Caenorhabditis elegans: one gene and its partner. The protein of the gene in region 1 interacts with the protein of each later gene in a pairwise test. Each region holds a gene or a part of one and is shown on either strand. Other genes may lie near its edges.

Region 1 (9,429 bases):
ATTTTTCTTCTCAAGACGTTTAGCTACTCTTCCGTTACGGCGTCCTCCCAGGTTGGAGACGGAAAAATGATTTATTAGTTGGTGTCAAACCTACTGACAAGGGAAGTCTTTGAGGGGGTCCGTAGATTTGGGGTTCTCATGCTAAAATTCCTACAGAAGAGTGTTAGTTATGATCTCTCCAAAAAATTTAGCTGCCCCGGTCAAGTTTCAGCAAAGTTATGACGTTTTGAAATTTCAGTTAAAAACACCATTGAAATCCACTGTCTAGCCATGCAGTCCACGCAAATCTCAGCTTGCGTGACCACCGAAAATGTGACACCCACCACATTGAGTTGAAAAATGTCCTCGGTGGCCGAGTTGGGAGTGCGCGCGTCTGATAAGATTTAAGCTTTGGTTCGATTCCTTCTATTTTTGAAATATTTTTGTATCAAAAAGTTTATAACTAAAACTTTGTTCACTATTATTCAACAAACATTTTGTTAGTTGATCATTTTTCAAAATAATTTATCTCAACGAAGTTATGCAACTTCAAAGTTGGCTAAATATTTTGCACAAAGTTCGTGAGATGTAGATCATTTCGACGGTTTACTTGCGAATAGAGAGTTAAAACTTGTGTAATGTACGTTTCATACATTTCTGAACAACAACATAGCAATTTCATAATTGTTTAGAAAAATGAAATTTTTTGAATTTTTTGCTTGGAGTTGATCAAGAAATTTTGAGCAAAAATGAAAAAAATAAAAATTTCCAAAAAGTGCGGACAATGATTCTAGGTTCCCGAATAAGAATAAAATCACTTTAAAAATGCGCAAAAATGTTTGAATGAGTTGTTTTACAACTTTATTCAACTTACAAAAATATTTCAAAAATAGAAGGAATCGAACCAAAGCTTAAATCTTATCAGACGCGCGCACTCCCAACTCGGCCACCGAGGACATTTTTCAACTCAATGTGGTGGGTGTCACATTTTCGGTGGTCACGCAAGCTGAGATTTGCGTGGACTGCATGGCTAGACAGTGGATTTCAATGGTGTTTTTAACTGAAATTTCAAAACGTCATAACTTTGCTGAAACTTGACCGGGGCAGCTAAATTTTTTGGAGAGATCATAACTAACACTCTTCTGTAGGAATTTTAGCATGAGAACCCCAAATCTACGGACCCCCTCAAAGACTTCCCTTGTGAGTTTGGAGTTTTTATTGATTTTAGGGGCTTTTGGAGCTGTATTTTCTAAATTTAAAATGTGAAAATCAGATTTAGAACCAAATTTTACCTATTCGCCCAAGTTTTTAATTAGTTTACGGTCGTATAAATGAACTGGAATTTTTAGCAATTTTCAATGTGAAATTCAAATTCAGCATGAGTTTTAGGGGTTCTACTTTAACTTTCTCTAACTTTCGCTGAGTAGCGACTCGATAAACACTGTGATGCGGAGTTTTCTTAATTGCCATGAAACTTTTTTTTCACATGTGGTGTCAAAGTGTCCCATTTCGGTGTGATCTACCAAAAATGCGGGAATTTAATGTGGAGCAGACTTCTCAACAGATTTTGTATGGTTGAGAGCGTGCTGACGTCACATTTTCCTCCACAGGAAATTCCCGCATTTTTTGTAGATCACATCTTAATATTTTTAAAAAAGTATCTCGCCACTTTATAAAGCTACAACAAAATTTTCAACCTATCCTCATAAAAATTGGCAGAACTCCGTATAAAAATGGAGCTAAAATTCAAGCCTAAGTCTAAGTCTTAAGCCTAAGCCTAAGCAGAAGCCGTAGCATGAGCCTAAGTCTAAGCCTAAGCTCAAGCCTAAGTCTAAGCCTAAGCCCAATCTCAACCCTACGCCTAAGCCGAAGCCTAAGGCAAAGCCCAAACCTGAGCCTAATCCTAAGCCGAATCCGAAGCCTGAGCATCATCCTAAGCCTAAGCCTAAGTATAAGCCTAAGCATAAGACTTATCTTGAGCCTAAACTGTGTTTAAGCTTAAATTAAAGCCTATGCCTGAGTCAAACTTTTTGAGTCGCTACTCAGCCAATATTTCAGCGACTATGCCCAATCTCAAATCTAAACCTAAACCTAAGCCTAATCCTATGCCTATGTCTAAGCCTAGACCTAAACTTGAGCCTGAATCTTAGCCTAGGCCTAAGCCTACGCCTCAGCCTTAGCCAACACCTACTCCTGGACTTAAGTTGCTACTCAGCCAATATTCCCGCCACTTCTCCGAACTTTTTCTCTTTGCCTAAAGTGCATTCATGTGTTCGTTTCATCATTTTTCATTCACTCTTCCACACCTCTCAAAACATACAAATATATATACAAACATATACATACATACACATTTAGGGCGCATCCATTTCCTATTATTTGTTCAAAACCATCTCCCCCATCATTCTCCCCATTTTTTGACCATTTCTATCCATTTTTCCCCTGGAAAAAATGCTTCCGTCTCCCGATTATTTCTCGATATTTCAAGCTCAATCTCCTATCAGTTGTAGCCCAAGACGTCTAGCTTCAACTAGACGAATGCTCCACTTTATAGACTCATCCGAGTCCGAGGATGATCTAGACGAGTTGCCACGTCATCTACCGCCCGTGATTCGGAGGCTGGCTCCGTTGCGGCATGCCACGTCACAATACAATCTGAGATCCACTGGCAGCACCTCTTCAGACTCCTCCACGGCGTCGGAAAATGATAAATGCTCCGATTTTTCAAGCCTAAAATCCCGCCGGGCTTCTTGTATTGAGCTTAACAAGGAGGATGAGTTCAAGGTGATGGCTGCTGATAAGCTTCTGATGGCTATGGAGAACATGAAGCATGCCACGTCATCACAGGCGATACGATGGAGGACGACTTCTACGGAGTCTCTGCCAGGGATTATCAAGTCGAATAGACGGCACTCGAAGGGTCCGCTGGAGTTGATTCAGGGCCTGATGGCCAAGAAGGCGGCCGTGGGGAGGCCCGCGAAATTCAAAAATTTGGGAGTTGTTGGACCGCCCACGCTTATTTCGTCGACGGTCTCGTTGCATGAGATTTCTGGATTTGTAAGGAGGGATCGGTTTTGGGGGGCTGAAACTGAGTCGCTATTCAGCCAATTTGAAGTTTAAGCTATTTTAGCTTCTGCTTAGGCTTAGGCTTAGGCTTAGGTTTAGGCTTATGCATAGGCTTATGCGCTTAGGCTTAGGTTTAGGCTTAGGATTATGTTTAGGCTTAGGCTTTGGCCTAGGCCTAGGCTTAGACTTAAATTTGTGCTGCATTTTTGTACTGATTTTTGTCAATTTTTATAGAGATAGGTTGAGCAATATAATTTTCTGCCGAAAAACTCTGAAATTGAGAAAACTAAACTGAGTCGCTACTCAGTCAATTCACCAAAAACTGAAATTTTTCTGTCTCTCACCATAATCAGCGAATTTTGTCACACTTATCCTAAAATTTTCAGCCTGAAAACTCTGAAATTGAGCAAACTCCGTATCACACTGAGCCGCTACTCAGTTAATTCTCCAAAAATTGAGCTAGAATCCAAATTCATGTATGGTGTCAGTTTTTTTGTGCTGAATTCAGAAAATTTATTTAAAAAATTCATTTCAATTTAAAAAATGATTTTTGCTCCTAGTATACATATAGTACAAAAAGTTCAGGATCCAATATTGTTACAACTTAAAATTCTTATACTTTGCACCGATTTTTGTAATCTACGCAAAGTTTTACAGCAGCTCCAAAGTTCTCAGCAATTTTCCATTAAACCTGACAAAACTCCGTGATTAACTGGGTCGCTACTCAGCCAATTCGCCAAAATTTGAGCTAGAAGGCTGAAAATTTGGGAATACGGGTAACCAAGCATACTGATTTTGAAAAAAATACTGAAAATTGAGAAAAATGACTTCAAATCCCACAAAACCACTTAGAAAACCTCGAAAATCCCCTTAACCTTCATTTTTCCAGACTCACAACCCAACTTCCGGTCACCAAAATGAGCAAACTCATCAAAAAACCAACGGATCCGCCGTACACAATCAATTGACCAGGAATATTATGAATGAGGTACATATGTGGTCACTTTTGCTCTCTAGTATTTGCACAAATTCTCACACTACGAAAAAGTAAATAGTACCTAGTAGTACTCATGGAAATGTTTGCTTTTCGTGAGAAAAAAACGAGAAAAAAAACGAGTTTTCAAGGAATTTTTTGGTATTTTTTGTGTTAGAAATTGGCAAAAACTTGTAGTATTCCATTCAAAAAATTCTCTAAAATTCTCAAAAAATTTCCAAAACTTCCATTTTTCCAGGTCCTAACAAAAGTGGGCCCATATCCACAAATAGTGCTACCATCAAATGGATTTTGGATGGATGGAGTCAATCAACAGCACCATATGGATGATCAAGTCAATAATATGAATGTGAACAGTTGTGCCAGATTCAAGCTGGAAACCGACGAGACTAGTCATTGTTATCGCCGACATTTCTTTGGAAGAGTAGGTTTTTTGAATTCTACGCATGGAGAGCTTTCAGAAAAGTACCCACAAGCCTATATTCCAAAAAAAAAGTTTTGGCTTGTAGGCGGCCTGAAACGGCCTGAATCGGCCTTTTTTTGATTCGCACGGTTAATGTTACAAAAAACGACAGTAAAGCAGCCCACTAGCCTTGTTTTTAGCAATATCGTTTTCCAGGTTTGTGCACGGCTTAAATCGGCCTGTAAGGGCTTGAAATAACTATTTCTAGAAACATAGGCTTGTGGGTACTTGAATAAAAGCCTATAACATAGTAATTTTGAATTTTTGACTTATATTTGTTGCATTTGAGTTTTGAGCCTAGAAGTGCTAGGTTTTCAAAAATCGACCAAATTTTATTTCCAATTTTGTGACAATTTTGCACAGGGCCTAGTAGTAACGTATTATTTTTGTCAATATTCGCATTGTTGAAACCGAGAGCTTTCAGAAACATACCCACAAGCCTATATTCTAAAGAAATAGATTTTCAGTCTAACTGAGGCCTGAAGCGACCTAAAACGGCCTGAAACGGCCTTGTTTAATTAGATTTGTTGAAAATGGATTCAAAAATCAAATATGCTGGTATCTATCATCTGATCACATATAAAAAGACAATACAAAATTTCAGGCCTAGTAACAGCCTAGATCGGCCTGAAACGGCCTAAAAATGCCTAAAATGAGTAGTTTTCAAAACATAGTCTTGTGGGTACATGTTGAAAACCATTTTTTACGACAAATTCAAATTTTCAATCAAAATTGCCATAACTTCGACGTAAAATTTTTCAGGAGCACCACGACTTCTTCGCCAACGACCCAATCGTAGGCCCACTGGTCCTTAGCGTCCGCACAGAAGTCATCTCCTCCTGTGACCATTTCCGTATCATTCTCCGTACCCGTAAAGGTACCATCCATGAAATTGTGTCAGCTACCGCACTAGCCGACCGCCCATCGGCTTCCCGGATGGCTAAGCTGCTCTGCGAGGAGATCACCACTGAGCAGTTCTCTCCGGTGGCATTCCCCGGTGGTTCTGAGCTTATTGTACAGTATGATGAGCATGTGCTCACGAATACCTATAAATTTGGAGTTATCTATCAAAAAGGCGGACAGACGACTGAGGAGCAACTTTTCGGAAATCCACACGGGAGCCCGGCTTTTGACGAGTTTTTGTCGATGATTGGCGATTCTGTGCAGTTGAATGGCTTTCAGGTAGGCAAATTGAGCGGCAAGTTTGATCTCTAGAAATTTAATCTCCGCCCACAAAATGGCATTGGTTTCTAAAACTCCAAAAATTCAAAAAAAAAATCGACAAAGAAGTTTCGAAAAAAAATTCTTCCTCAAAATTAAAATTTTTTGAAGAATATGTTTTGTGGTTACAGACTCCGCCCACAAATGGGCGGGGCTTCACCGACTCCGCCCACACAATGACAATTATTTATCCCAAAAAATTGGGTCACAAAACCACAGTTTCTCATCAAGTTGTCTAACTTTTCCATTCGTGAAAAGTAAGAAAAGGGGCGGAGCTTAGGAGACCATGCCCACAAAAGTTTTTTTTTTTGTATTTTCAGCAAAACGTTCAATTTTCGACTGAAAACGGGAAGGAAAATTACTTTTTATAAGCTCAGCACCATACAAAAATAGGCGTGGTTTGATAAACCCCGCCCACAAAATGGCCTAGATTTTGTTATTTTTTACGAATAATTTGAAAACATAATTTCAAGCTAAAATTTTCAAAAATTTTTCATATTTTTTTAATCAAAATTTTGCTAATAACGAGTAAACTATTTAATTTGAAATTTACAAAAAGGGAGTCGAATAAGGCTCCGCCCACAAAATGGCTCTTTTTTCCAGAACATTTTTTATAAATTTTTTGTCAAAAAAAAAAGCATATTTTGCTGTCACTTAGGCCCCACCCACAAAATGGACATGACGAAAAAATCTATAATTTTTCTAAATTTCAGAAATACCGCGGAGGCCTTGACACGGCCCACAACCAAACGGGCCATCAGTCCGTATTCAGTGAATTCAAAAATCGTGAGATCATGTTCCACGTGTCAACAATGCTACCGTATACTATTGGAGACGCCCAGCAGCTTCAAAGAAAACGGCATATTGGAAATGATATTGTGGCAATCATCTTTCAGGAGGCTAATACTCCATTTGCTCCTGATATGATTGCATCAAACTTTTTGCACGCCTATGTTGTGGTGCGTTTTCAGAGATTGATGAAATTTTGGGGAAAAACGTGAAATTTCGGCTAGAAGTTGATTTTCCAAGGTTTTTAGTAACAAATTCGAAATTGACAGCTTATTAGCTTCAAAATAAGTACCTACAAGCCTAGTTTTTGGAGAAATGGTTATTCTTGGCCGTTTGGGCTGTTTCAGGCCGTTTCAGGCCGTTTCAGGCCGTTTCAAGTCGCCCTCATTTTTGAAAACCGTTGTTTTTTAAAATAAAATTGATTTCAAGTTCACCAATTTCAAATTCAAGAGCATCTCAACTCAGGCCATTTCAAGCCAATTTAGGCCCTGAAATAGGCCGAAAACGTATTATTTTCAAACATAGGCTTGTGGGTACATTTTTAAAAGCTCTCAACGTGGCAAACGCAAATTTCAATGTTATAGGTCCAACCAATCGACGCCCTGACCGACCGTGTCAGGTACCGAGTCTCCGTGGCCGCCCGTGATGACGTCCCATTTTTCGGCCCAACCCTGCCAACCCCATCGATTTTCAAGCGAGGCCAAGATTTCAGAAATTTCCTGCTCACCAAGCTAATCAATGCCGAGAACGCTGCTTACAAGAGCTCAAAGTTCGCCAAACTTGCCGAGCGTACCAGAAGCTCGTTGCTCGACGGGCTCCACGCAACTCTACGCGAGCGTGCCGAGTTCTATGCCACACCACTACTAGAATCCACGTCATCAGGTGGCGAAAGTGCTGCCACCACGTCATCGTCATCCAACTCATATGGCGGCGGGATTTTGTCATCTGTGAAGAAGGCGTTTATCGGGAGAAGCCGGTCGGTTTCTCAGGAGGCTAGTCACGTACCACACCGCGCCGCCACGATTAATGTGACGTCACGGCCTAAAAAATCGATATCCTCGACGAGTTCGTCGACCAGTGCCCGGACACACTCACCGATTAGGGATGAGGAGGTTGTCAAGCCATATAGGTAAGGGGTTTGCGGGTTTTTTTTTTGGCGGGAAATTCAAATTTTCTAAAAAAAAGTGTTGGCGGGAGATTACAATTTACAGAATGTTTTGGCGGGAAATTCAAATTTTCAAAGAAAATTTCCCAAAAATTTTTCTGGCCAAATTATTTTTTTTTCACATTCAAATTTCAGAAAAGAATGGGAAATTTCATCTCAAGAGTCTCCGGATAACGAGCATGATTCGGATACTGGAATGGTAAGATTTTCAATTTTTTTTTTGAATTTTCAGCACAAATTTCCATTTCCAGGAATCCATGTCCTCCACAGAAATGTCAGGTCAAACTCGGGCTTCATCGTGCACATTTTGTGTAGATGACTTCCACGTGGCAGCAAATCATCAGTCCTCAGATGCAAAGCGTCTCGAGACCCTTTGTGTAGATGTTACACGACTTCAGAATGAGAAGCACGACTTGTTACGTCAGAATGTTAGCTGCAAAACTGATATTAAAAAGTTAAAGGATCGGTTAGTAATGTTTCAATTGAACAATTTGAATTCGGAAGACCGAGAGCTTTCGAAAAAGTACCCACAAGCCTATATTTCGAACAATTGAGATTTTCAGGCTTGCGCTCGGCCTGAAACGGCCTAAAATAGCCTGAAACGGTTTCGAATCGATTTATTATTTTGCAGCAAGAGTAAATATTCCGCACACTAACACAGTTTGGAAACTTAAATCGAAAGCCTATCCGCGGCCTGAAATGGCCTACGAGGGCCTGTAACGGCCTAAAATATCATGTCCTAAAAACATAGGCTTGTGGGTACTATTTCGAAAGCTGGTTTTTCACTGAATCTCATAATTTCAATACTTTCAGCCAAAGTGTGCTCTCCGAGGAGCTGGAACGCGCCAACGATGAGATTTCGCGGCTGCGGAGGATGCTGAAAAAGCCGTCAAACAGCGATATGGCGCCGGTCCACCAGCACTTTGAACGGAGCTATTCGGATGTTTCAGTTTGAGCAATGAAAACCTACAAATTCCACTAATATATGTTCAGGGTACAATTATTTCAATGACTTGCGGGCCTGTTTAACCTATTTTCTCCAGTTTTTTTTGTCTGAAATTTCACAGAATCTTCTTCCATCACACAAATTCCATACATATTCTCTCAAATTTTCACCTCCATCCCCCGATGTTTTATCTCCAGTTTTCACATTTCCAGAATTAAAAAAAAAAATAAATATATCTGAAAATATTTTCTATGTACTTTTTCATTTTTCTCCAAATTTTCTCATATACAAATTTGTCAACAATTCGAATAAAAATTAAATATGTGTATTTTTTAATAGTTAGAAAAATGCAGAATTAGAAATACACAATTCATATATCAAGAATTCAGAAAATTTAGGTAAAACCCATCAAAAACTATTAAAAAGTGGCAAAAATGGCAAAAAAGTGGCAACAATTCCCAATTTTGAAACTTCTCTAAAATGGTTCATTTTGTAGCTAGAGGACTCAAAATTAGTGTATATACACTTAAAAATTGTCCTTTTTCAATTTATAGTAGTTTTGTACAATTTCAGAAAAATTATTTTTTTTGCCAAAATGAAAAAAAAGTACATTCATTAGATGGCTGAAAAATCAAATGCGCAAAAATAAAAAGTTGCTTGATTTTGTGGCAAACGGGTAATTCATACATGTTTAATTCAGAAAATCTAGATGTAACCCATTATGAACTATTAAAAAGTGGCAAAAATGGCAAAAAAGTGGCAAAAAACACATTTTTAAACTCCTCTAAAATGGTTCATTTTGTAAA
Region 2 (7,142 bases), on another chromosome or scaffold:
AATTGCCATCTGAAAACAAAAAAATGTTGGCTAGAGTGTGGCTAAATAGGGGGCAAAGTGCAATAACAAGAAGAAATCACAGGAAAAAAATTTTGTCCTCGTGTACGACACGGCCGTGGCCTAGAATTCTCGGAGCTTCAAATGGAATTTATTAATTTTTTGGCTCGATATTTTCAACAAAATCTCTTGATATGTGATGATTAGTCACGTTTTTTCTATTTTAATGAAATTTGTTTGTGTAAATAACCTCGCGAAACCTGTTTTCGCATCAGCTGTCGTCGCTTTTGAACAAGACGCTCGTATTCTTTTCATTAGAGCGCCGTTGCCTTTCTTCATTTTGCCAATTTAACAGTACGATTTCTTATATTCTATTTCAATATTATACTTAAAGTTTATTTTATCAAACTCTCATTTTTAGATGCCATCGGTTCCACGTGTTGATCGCCTCAAACCCATTTACACAGCCGCAAAAGCTCTGAACTTTGGATGGCGATTTTCTGATTTTCTGAAAATTCCGGCTTATAATGGAATCTCGCGTTACACCAACCAACTTCATCGCATCACTGTCAGGTTTTGCAAACAAAGTGAATCCAGTGTCGGAGTTCGCAATTTTATTGAGAATCAACTCGTTGAAATCGGTAAGAATTTCTGTCTACGATCAAAAAATTAATAGAGAATCTAAATTAAAAGCTTCATTTTTTTTTAAATAAAGAAGGAAATCCGTTTTTTTCAGGCCGTAAAAACCCATCAGTTGTGATCTATGCCCAGCCTGTGCGAAACTCGAACCCATCAATCCGCGCAGAATATGGAAATGGTCGGACTCTACAGATCAATGCAAAAAACATGACACAAGACGAAGTGAGCAAAGATGTGCATTTGTTATTCTCAAGAAGCGGCGAACCAGTTGTGAAGCTAGAGAGTCGTCAAAGTGCATTGGTTCCTTCTATTCAAGGTCAATGGACACCGATAACATGGCTTCCAACAGAAATGAACACGGAACAACTTCCAGCGAAACAGTTCTCAAAGCACAAGTCAACGGCAACGTCGGCGACGGAATATATTCTTCAAAATCCACCAAAATAAGCAATAATCCGTTATTTTATAGTTGTTTTCATTTATTCGTTGTTTTCTTTTGATTTTTTGACAATATTATTAGTAATAAAATTTAGTGTTCAGAATGAGTTGAATAACTCGTTGGTCCAGAAAAAAGGAAAAATACTGAACAGAAAAGTTAAGGAAATTGAAAAAAAAAGAAAACTTTTCAAGAAGTAGATAGAAATGAGAATCATTGGAATAGGCTTCAAAAAAAAATATATCAATTTCTAGAAATTATAATCACTGGTTATATCCATTCATCGGGTCCCATTGCCATTGTGCCTGTGGTGCTCCTTGAGCTTCAGGTCTCCATCCTCCACTACTCGATTGTCCGTAATCCACAGCACTTGGAGCACCGCCGAGCTCTCCAAATTCACTGGCTTGAGGTTGAGGAACAGTTGGTGCAGTGACCCAATTATTAATATCTTCTTGTGGAGCAATTTGATGTGTTGCAACCACGTATTCGAACTGTTCCGAGTATGGATTCATGAATTTGTATGCAGACACAGTACATGGAATGTAATCAGTACTGGTACGTACTCGAATATTTATTCTCATTGGTTGGTCACTGAAATGGAAATGTTTTTATTTAGTTAACATGGAATCTACTGCTATAGGTTTAAAGGAAAGTACATTTTTCGAAATGGTCCCGCCACGAATATTATTCGTGAAAAATTCGCCTGAAAATATTCCCTAGAACCGCGAAAATTACGATTAAAAAACTACGGTACCTGGTCTCGACAAGACAAATGTTTGTTTAATGAAAAAGGTTTGAGCCTTTAAAAAGTACGGTAATTTTAATGTTTCTACTCAATTCTCTTTGGTTTTTCATAGTTTTTTTGATAAAGGTATATTTATTTGTTTAAAAACTCACATAAGACAACATGTATTTTTACAAATAGTGAGAAAAACTATGAAAAATCGACGAAAATTCTACAGAGTAGAAAGTTTGAAATTGCAGTACTCTTTAAAACCGCACACACTCTTGAAAGCAGGTAATATGAAATTTGATGGACGCAAATTGTTCAAAAAGGTTTTTTTACGAAAACTTACCTTAAAAGAGCCACAAATGAGTCTTGAAGGGTCTTCTCATCTGCTGGATGTGCAAGATTCCACCAATATCTTCCGATAAGTTGATCACTGCTCAAACCAATTAAATCACTAACCCTCGCATCAATAAATGTCATTTTTCCATCTTCCGAAACACGAACCGAAAATTGATTTGTTGATGTTGGATCAGCACAGACCGGCATTGATGCTACCTTTAATTAAATCACGTTTATCTGCATCGTAAACTATTCTAACCTGTAACCTGGCAATTGCCACCAAACAAGATGAAGCTGGAGCATTAATTCCCTGTGGTGGAGCATTTTTGATATATCCTGTGCAATGCATCACAACGTAATTTTGACCAGCATGTTGGAATAAGGGACGGCGATTTCTGAGACGATGAAGTGGTTCAAGGGCTCCGACACGCATTCGACAGATGAATCCACGACGACATGACATATGAACTCGTGTTGATGCTCCTTCGCGTTTCACTGATCCTAAAATTCAATGATTTTGATAGTTAACTTGAAGTGGGTTACTGTACTTTTAAAGATACACACATTTTAAGAGCGAGCAGATACCTTTTTGACGGAAAATCACAAATTTTGGGCATGCCAAAATCTAGTGAAATTACAATAGATGCTTTTAAAACAAATACTACTTAATTCGATTGACTGAAGTAAGTGGTTATTACTGTAAACGGTTCCAAGTTATATGACTACTTTGGAAAAAATTCAAAAAATCCTTGAATCTCTCCTCTTCTCTTTTTATGATAACTCACCAGATTTCAAATCGAGAACTTTATTAACTGATACTTCACTTCCACACAATTGATCTCTAATTTTATCTTGATCATCTGGATGTATGAGTTCATTCAAATTTCTTTGAAGCCAATCTTCCTAAAAATTAATATTTATATTTCAATAATGAAAGATTCAAATCTTGCTCACCTGCTTCAAATTAAGTACGGGAGTAATTGAATCAGCAACATATAACACTTTTCCAGTCTGACAACAAACAACAAAAAGAAATCCATTCGCTGCTTCTAGAATCAAATGTTTCAATTCTTGATCCGTAAGAAATGATGGTTTATATGAAGTTTCATCTTGTGCCGTATGTCCTCGAATTCCTTTCATGTGTGATACTGCCATTCGGAGAATCGTTAGTTTATCGGGTTTACGTCCAAGTGATGCACATTGTGGAACCATTTCGGCTAATTCATTTATGTAATGAGTCATTTTGTTACGGCGACGTCGCTCAATCTAAAACGTTTTCAGTTGAATTTGAAGCAAGAAATTTTACTTTTTCCATATTGAATTTTGATTTCAGAAATTTCAACCAAAGGGTTGGTAAATTGCCAAATTTTTAAACTTTTAGTTTTTAGTTTAATACTTGCAGAAAGAAAGATTTTTCGGTCGGCTTCCGAATTCATGATATGTGAAACTCTAAAATTGTGCCTATTTGAATTTTAATTATACAGTTTGAAATAATTTTTTAAAAAGTTCTCTATGACTCGATAATTTTAGCACCATATGTAGAAATTTTTAAAAAATTTAAAATCGCTGGAAATTTAATTTTGAGTTGTGTTACGTCCCATGAAAATTGCAGTTTTACAGGTCAAACAATACCCAGAGTATCGTACTTTTTATTTGAATTAATGAAACATAGCAGTATAAATTTTCAGATATAAATGTTCAAAACCTCACCTCTGAATGATTTTCCCTTGCAAATCTTTCCTTATTCTCTCCCATTTCATCTTCCATTCGAGCATATTTTCCAGATGGCATGCCCATATCTTCATCTTCCATTGCGAAGCTGAAATTATTTAAAATTTAAAATATAAGTTTAGAAGTATCCAAAAATAACCAGCAATAAGCATATCTGAATAGTTGTATTGCATAGAAAACCAATTTTAATCAACACATTTTTTGCAATAAAAAGCCATAACTTAAGCTAATAATGTCACACTATGCCTTACCTCGTCGCCGATTGCCATGGATCCATAAATATATCCTGAGCCATTCTGAAAACTATAAAGAAAAGTTTTTTTCTGTCGAAAAGAAGAATTGAAAGACACCAAAACAAATTATAGGCAATTGAATATATTAGGTGAAGAATTTAAAAAATTGAATTTTAAAACAAGTTGTGCAATGGATCGAGAGTAAATCAATTAATTATGTAAATCGTCGCTTCCTTGCCCGATGAGAGAGAAAGTATGGAAAATCTAGAGTAAGATGCGTCAGAGAATACTCTCCATTGTAGACACAATGTCTTTAAACACGCGATACGTATGTCTGAGTCTCCATTTTTCATATACTCTCACCAATCAATATTTCTTTAGGATGATGGGGGATGGGAAAGGAATGGTGTGAGAGAGAGGGGCGTGCGCGCTTTTTCTATTTGTCCAGTACCTCGTCACCAAACACCGTTGAGGACCGTATTATTACTATGAAGAGAGAAAGAAATGAAAAGAAATTGAGAGTGACCCCCCTACATATGGTCACTGGATATTTGAGAGAAGAAGCAACAGATGGAATTAGAGGGGAGAGACTTTTTAAGGATGATGAAGGAGGAAACGGAAAAAAATTAGAAGATGATGGATGGATGATAGGGCATATAAAAATGTGATAGTGATAATGCAAGAAAATAAGTGAAATAATGCACGCATTTATAGTGTGACCAGTATTTGAAAGTTGAATGACCACAATTGATTGATCAAATTTTTTTAACTTTCACACTCTCAATTAAAATCATTTTTTATTTGAAAGAAAACCTTTTGCATAGGCCCCTATAAAACATTCTGCTACATGCCTCGCACTTTGAACTAAAAAATATCGACCTGAAAACTGTTCCTTGGATGTTTCCAACTTTCGAGTTTTGTGAAATTGTTCCAAAAGTGTAGTTTTTTATCAAGTTAAAGTTTTCTTTCTAAAAAAACACACATAATTCAAGCTTTCAGAATGTTTGTTTCAGATCGACTTTTCCACTCGGCCTTTTGTAGATTTAGAATGCACTAGAGTTTGGCATAAGTTTGATTTTATTCATGTCAAACTTTGACCCAAACCTTTCTTGTATTGTTTTAAACTGTTGAAAAAAATATTGTCGCTGCCAAATTCTGGCAAAAAGTTGGTGTACAATGCCAAGCAGTCCAAGGCGCTCTTCGCCAGAGGAGCCATAGGACGAAACTCCATATTCAAATTAGTTATGCTTCTAAAAAGACAGATATAGTGACATATATTTCAATTTGGAGACCCCATTCAGAACTGTTCATATATTACAAAATTGATAATCTAAATATCAGTGCTCTTTTCTCGAATTCAACTCGTCTGCTCAACCGATTCATTCGTCAAAGTTGTATCTCCAGATTTCACGGATTGTAAGTCGACTGCAGAAAGACACAAAATCTTCTTTTTATTGAATCTCACCGTTTTCTCGTTGAATAACTAAAATCATTATGTTAGGTGACAATCATAAGGTTCAGATAAACTTACCACATTAAAGTACGGATGAGTGAGAATCTCAATTCCAGAGAGACGCTTGTTCGGATTGTAGACAAGGATTTGAAGAAGAACTGCTACTGACTCTTTCATGTCATCTTGCTCAATTTTCTGAAAAACAACTCTCTGGAGGTTTTCTTAAAGCTTTTTGCCTGAAACCGATTTGATTCCACATGCGCCTTATCGTTTGGTGCCTACTCTGTGCCTATCTTGTACCTAGCTTGTGCCGCGCAATCAATAACAGACTAGTGGTACATCAAATCGGTTTCAAATGTTAAGATGGTTCCGAATGTAGCACTTAAAACCGGTCGCTGATGAAAATTGTCTGAATTTTCAATGAACTCGTTCTTCGTATAATAATTACCGTATTATAGACTGTAGTTCTCCGATCCTTCTGATAAATGACTGTCTGTGTGTAGAGATAAGTCAAGTCGGCAGTTGTCTTCGATTTATTATATTCATATGAATCCAAAACTTCCTGCAACTTCGTGCTGCTCACTTTCATTGATGACACATCAGAATCTGTTGGGTATCCGAGCATATCGAAAATGACCTCCGCTTGATTGTTCGATGATTTTCCAGCCAAGATGATTCCGCCTTTCAGTAGCTCTCCAAATACACATCCGCAAGACCACGTGTCTGAAAAATTATATTCTAGCAAAAAACTCCAAGACTTGCTCAAGGTAACTAATAGTAAACTTGGGCTTAGTAAGAATTCACCAACAAGCATCTAACAAAATTATCAGATAATTTGAATATTTTTTCAGAATTTTCTTACCAATTTTGCATCCATAGTACTTGGAGCCTAAAATCAATTCTGGTGGTCTGTAGTATCTCGTGACATGATAACTTTGCTGTGGTGATTTTGTAGATTGGATGGACGATGAGCCAAAATCAGATATTTTCAGCAGACCTGTTTCGGCGTTGTAGAGTAGATTTTGAGGCTTGATGTCTCTGTGACAAATGTCAGCCTTAAAATTCCAGATTGAATGGGAGACATATTCAAAAAAATAACTGCACCTTCTCCAAATGTGCTTGTCCTCGAAACAATTGCCAGACAATAAGCTTCACTTCTACAATGTCAATCCGGCGGTTTTTGTCTTTTAGAAACTGATAAAGATTCAATGGAATGTACTCGAAAATCAGAGCAAGACAAATACGACCTGAATATTTGTAATTTGCTTATTATTCTATCAACTAAGCGTGCTCACACCTTCATGTTGTTTCTGATAGCTGTACAACAAACGAACAATATTCCGATGCTTCAACTTTCCCAACTGTCCAAGAATCTTCACTTCCATTGGACATCCTTTGTGACGCGGCCAGGTCTTTTTGATCACAATATCGATTTCCTGATTGGATTCTGTTTGAGCAACTCCACGGTAGACATTGGAAAATGCTCCAGTAGCAAACAGATTCATATGATGAAGATTGAGATGCATCTGAAAAATTCAAATGTTCCGATGAAGTTGCAAGAAACTTGAAGCTCTTTCACACTTT

The links.
Region 2: the proteins of F53A10.2 (region 1) and aha-1 interact in a two-hybrid assay, tested with the Caenorhabditis elegans proteins (one large-scale study listed by BioGRID).

The regions. Positions count from the first base shown.
Region 1 is NC_003280.10:1,221,834-1,231,262, forward strand, and holds F53A10.2 (Rap-GAP domain-containing protein), read left to right. Parts: upstream 1-2,517; coding exon 2,518-3,036; intron 3,037-3,934; coding exon 3,935-4,033; intron 4,034-4,277; coding exon 4,278-4,463; intron 4,464-5,264; coding exon 5,265-5,684; intron 5,685-6,436; coding exon 6,437-6,682; intron 6,683-7,096; coding exon 7,097-7,641; intron 7,642-7,812; coding exon 7,813-7,876; intron 7,877-7,928; coding exon 7,929-8,143; intron 8,144-8,490; coding exon 8,491-8,632; downstream 8,633-9,429.
Region 2 is NC_003279.8:10,192,824-10,199,965, forward strand, and holds aha-1 (Aryl hydrocarbon receptor nuclear translocator homolog), read right to left. Parts: upstream 4,175-7,142; 5' UTR 4,168-4,174; coding exon 4,124-4,167; intron 3,961-4,123; coding exon 3,852-3,960; intron 3,408-3,851; coding exon 3,096-3,407; intron 3,045-3,095; coding exon 2,927-3,044; intron 2,643-2,926; coding exon 2,401-2,642; intron 2,358-2,400; coding exon 2,149-2,357; intron 1,664-2,148; coding exon 1,336-1,663; 3' UTR 1,102-1,335; downstream 1-1,101. Other genes in the region: lid-1 (AB hydrolase-1 domain-containing protein), read right to left, coding at 1-9; mrpl-34 (Large ribosomal subunit protein mL43), read left to right, coding at 419-638, 734-1,083; C25A1.15 (Transposase), read left to right, coding at 4,498-4,773; Y106G6E.1 (Protein kinase domain-containing protein), read right to left, coding at 5,463-5,588, 5,637-5,753, 6,007-6,281, 6,421-6,613, 6,663-6,805, 6,856-7,084. UniProt on the Caenorhabditis elegans protein: Transcription factor. Efficient DNA binding requires dimerization with another bHLH protein, such as cky-1 or ahr-1. Regulates transcription of target genes, probably acting in complex with cky-1. Has a role in cellular differentiation.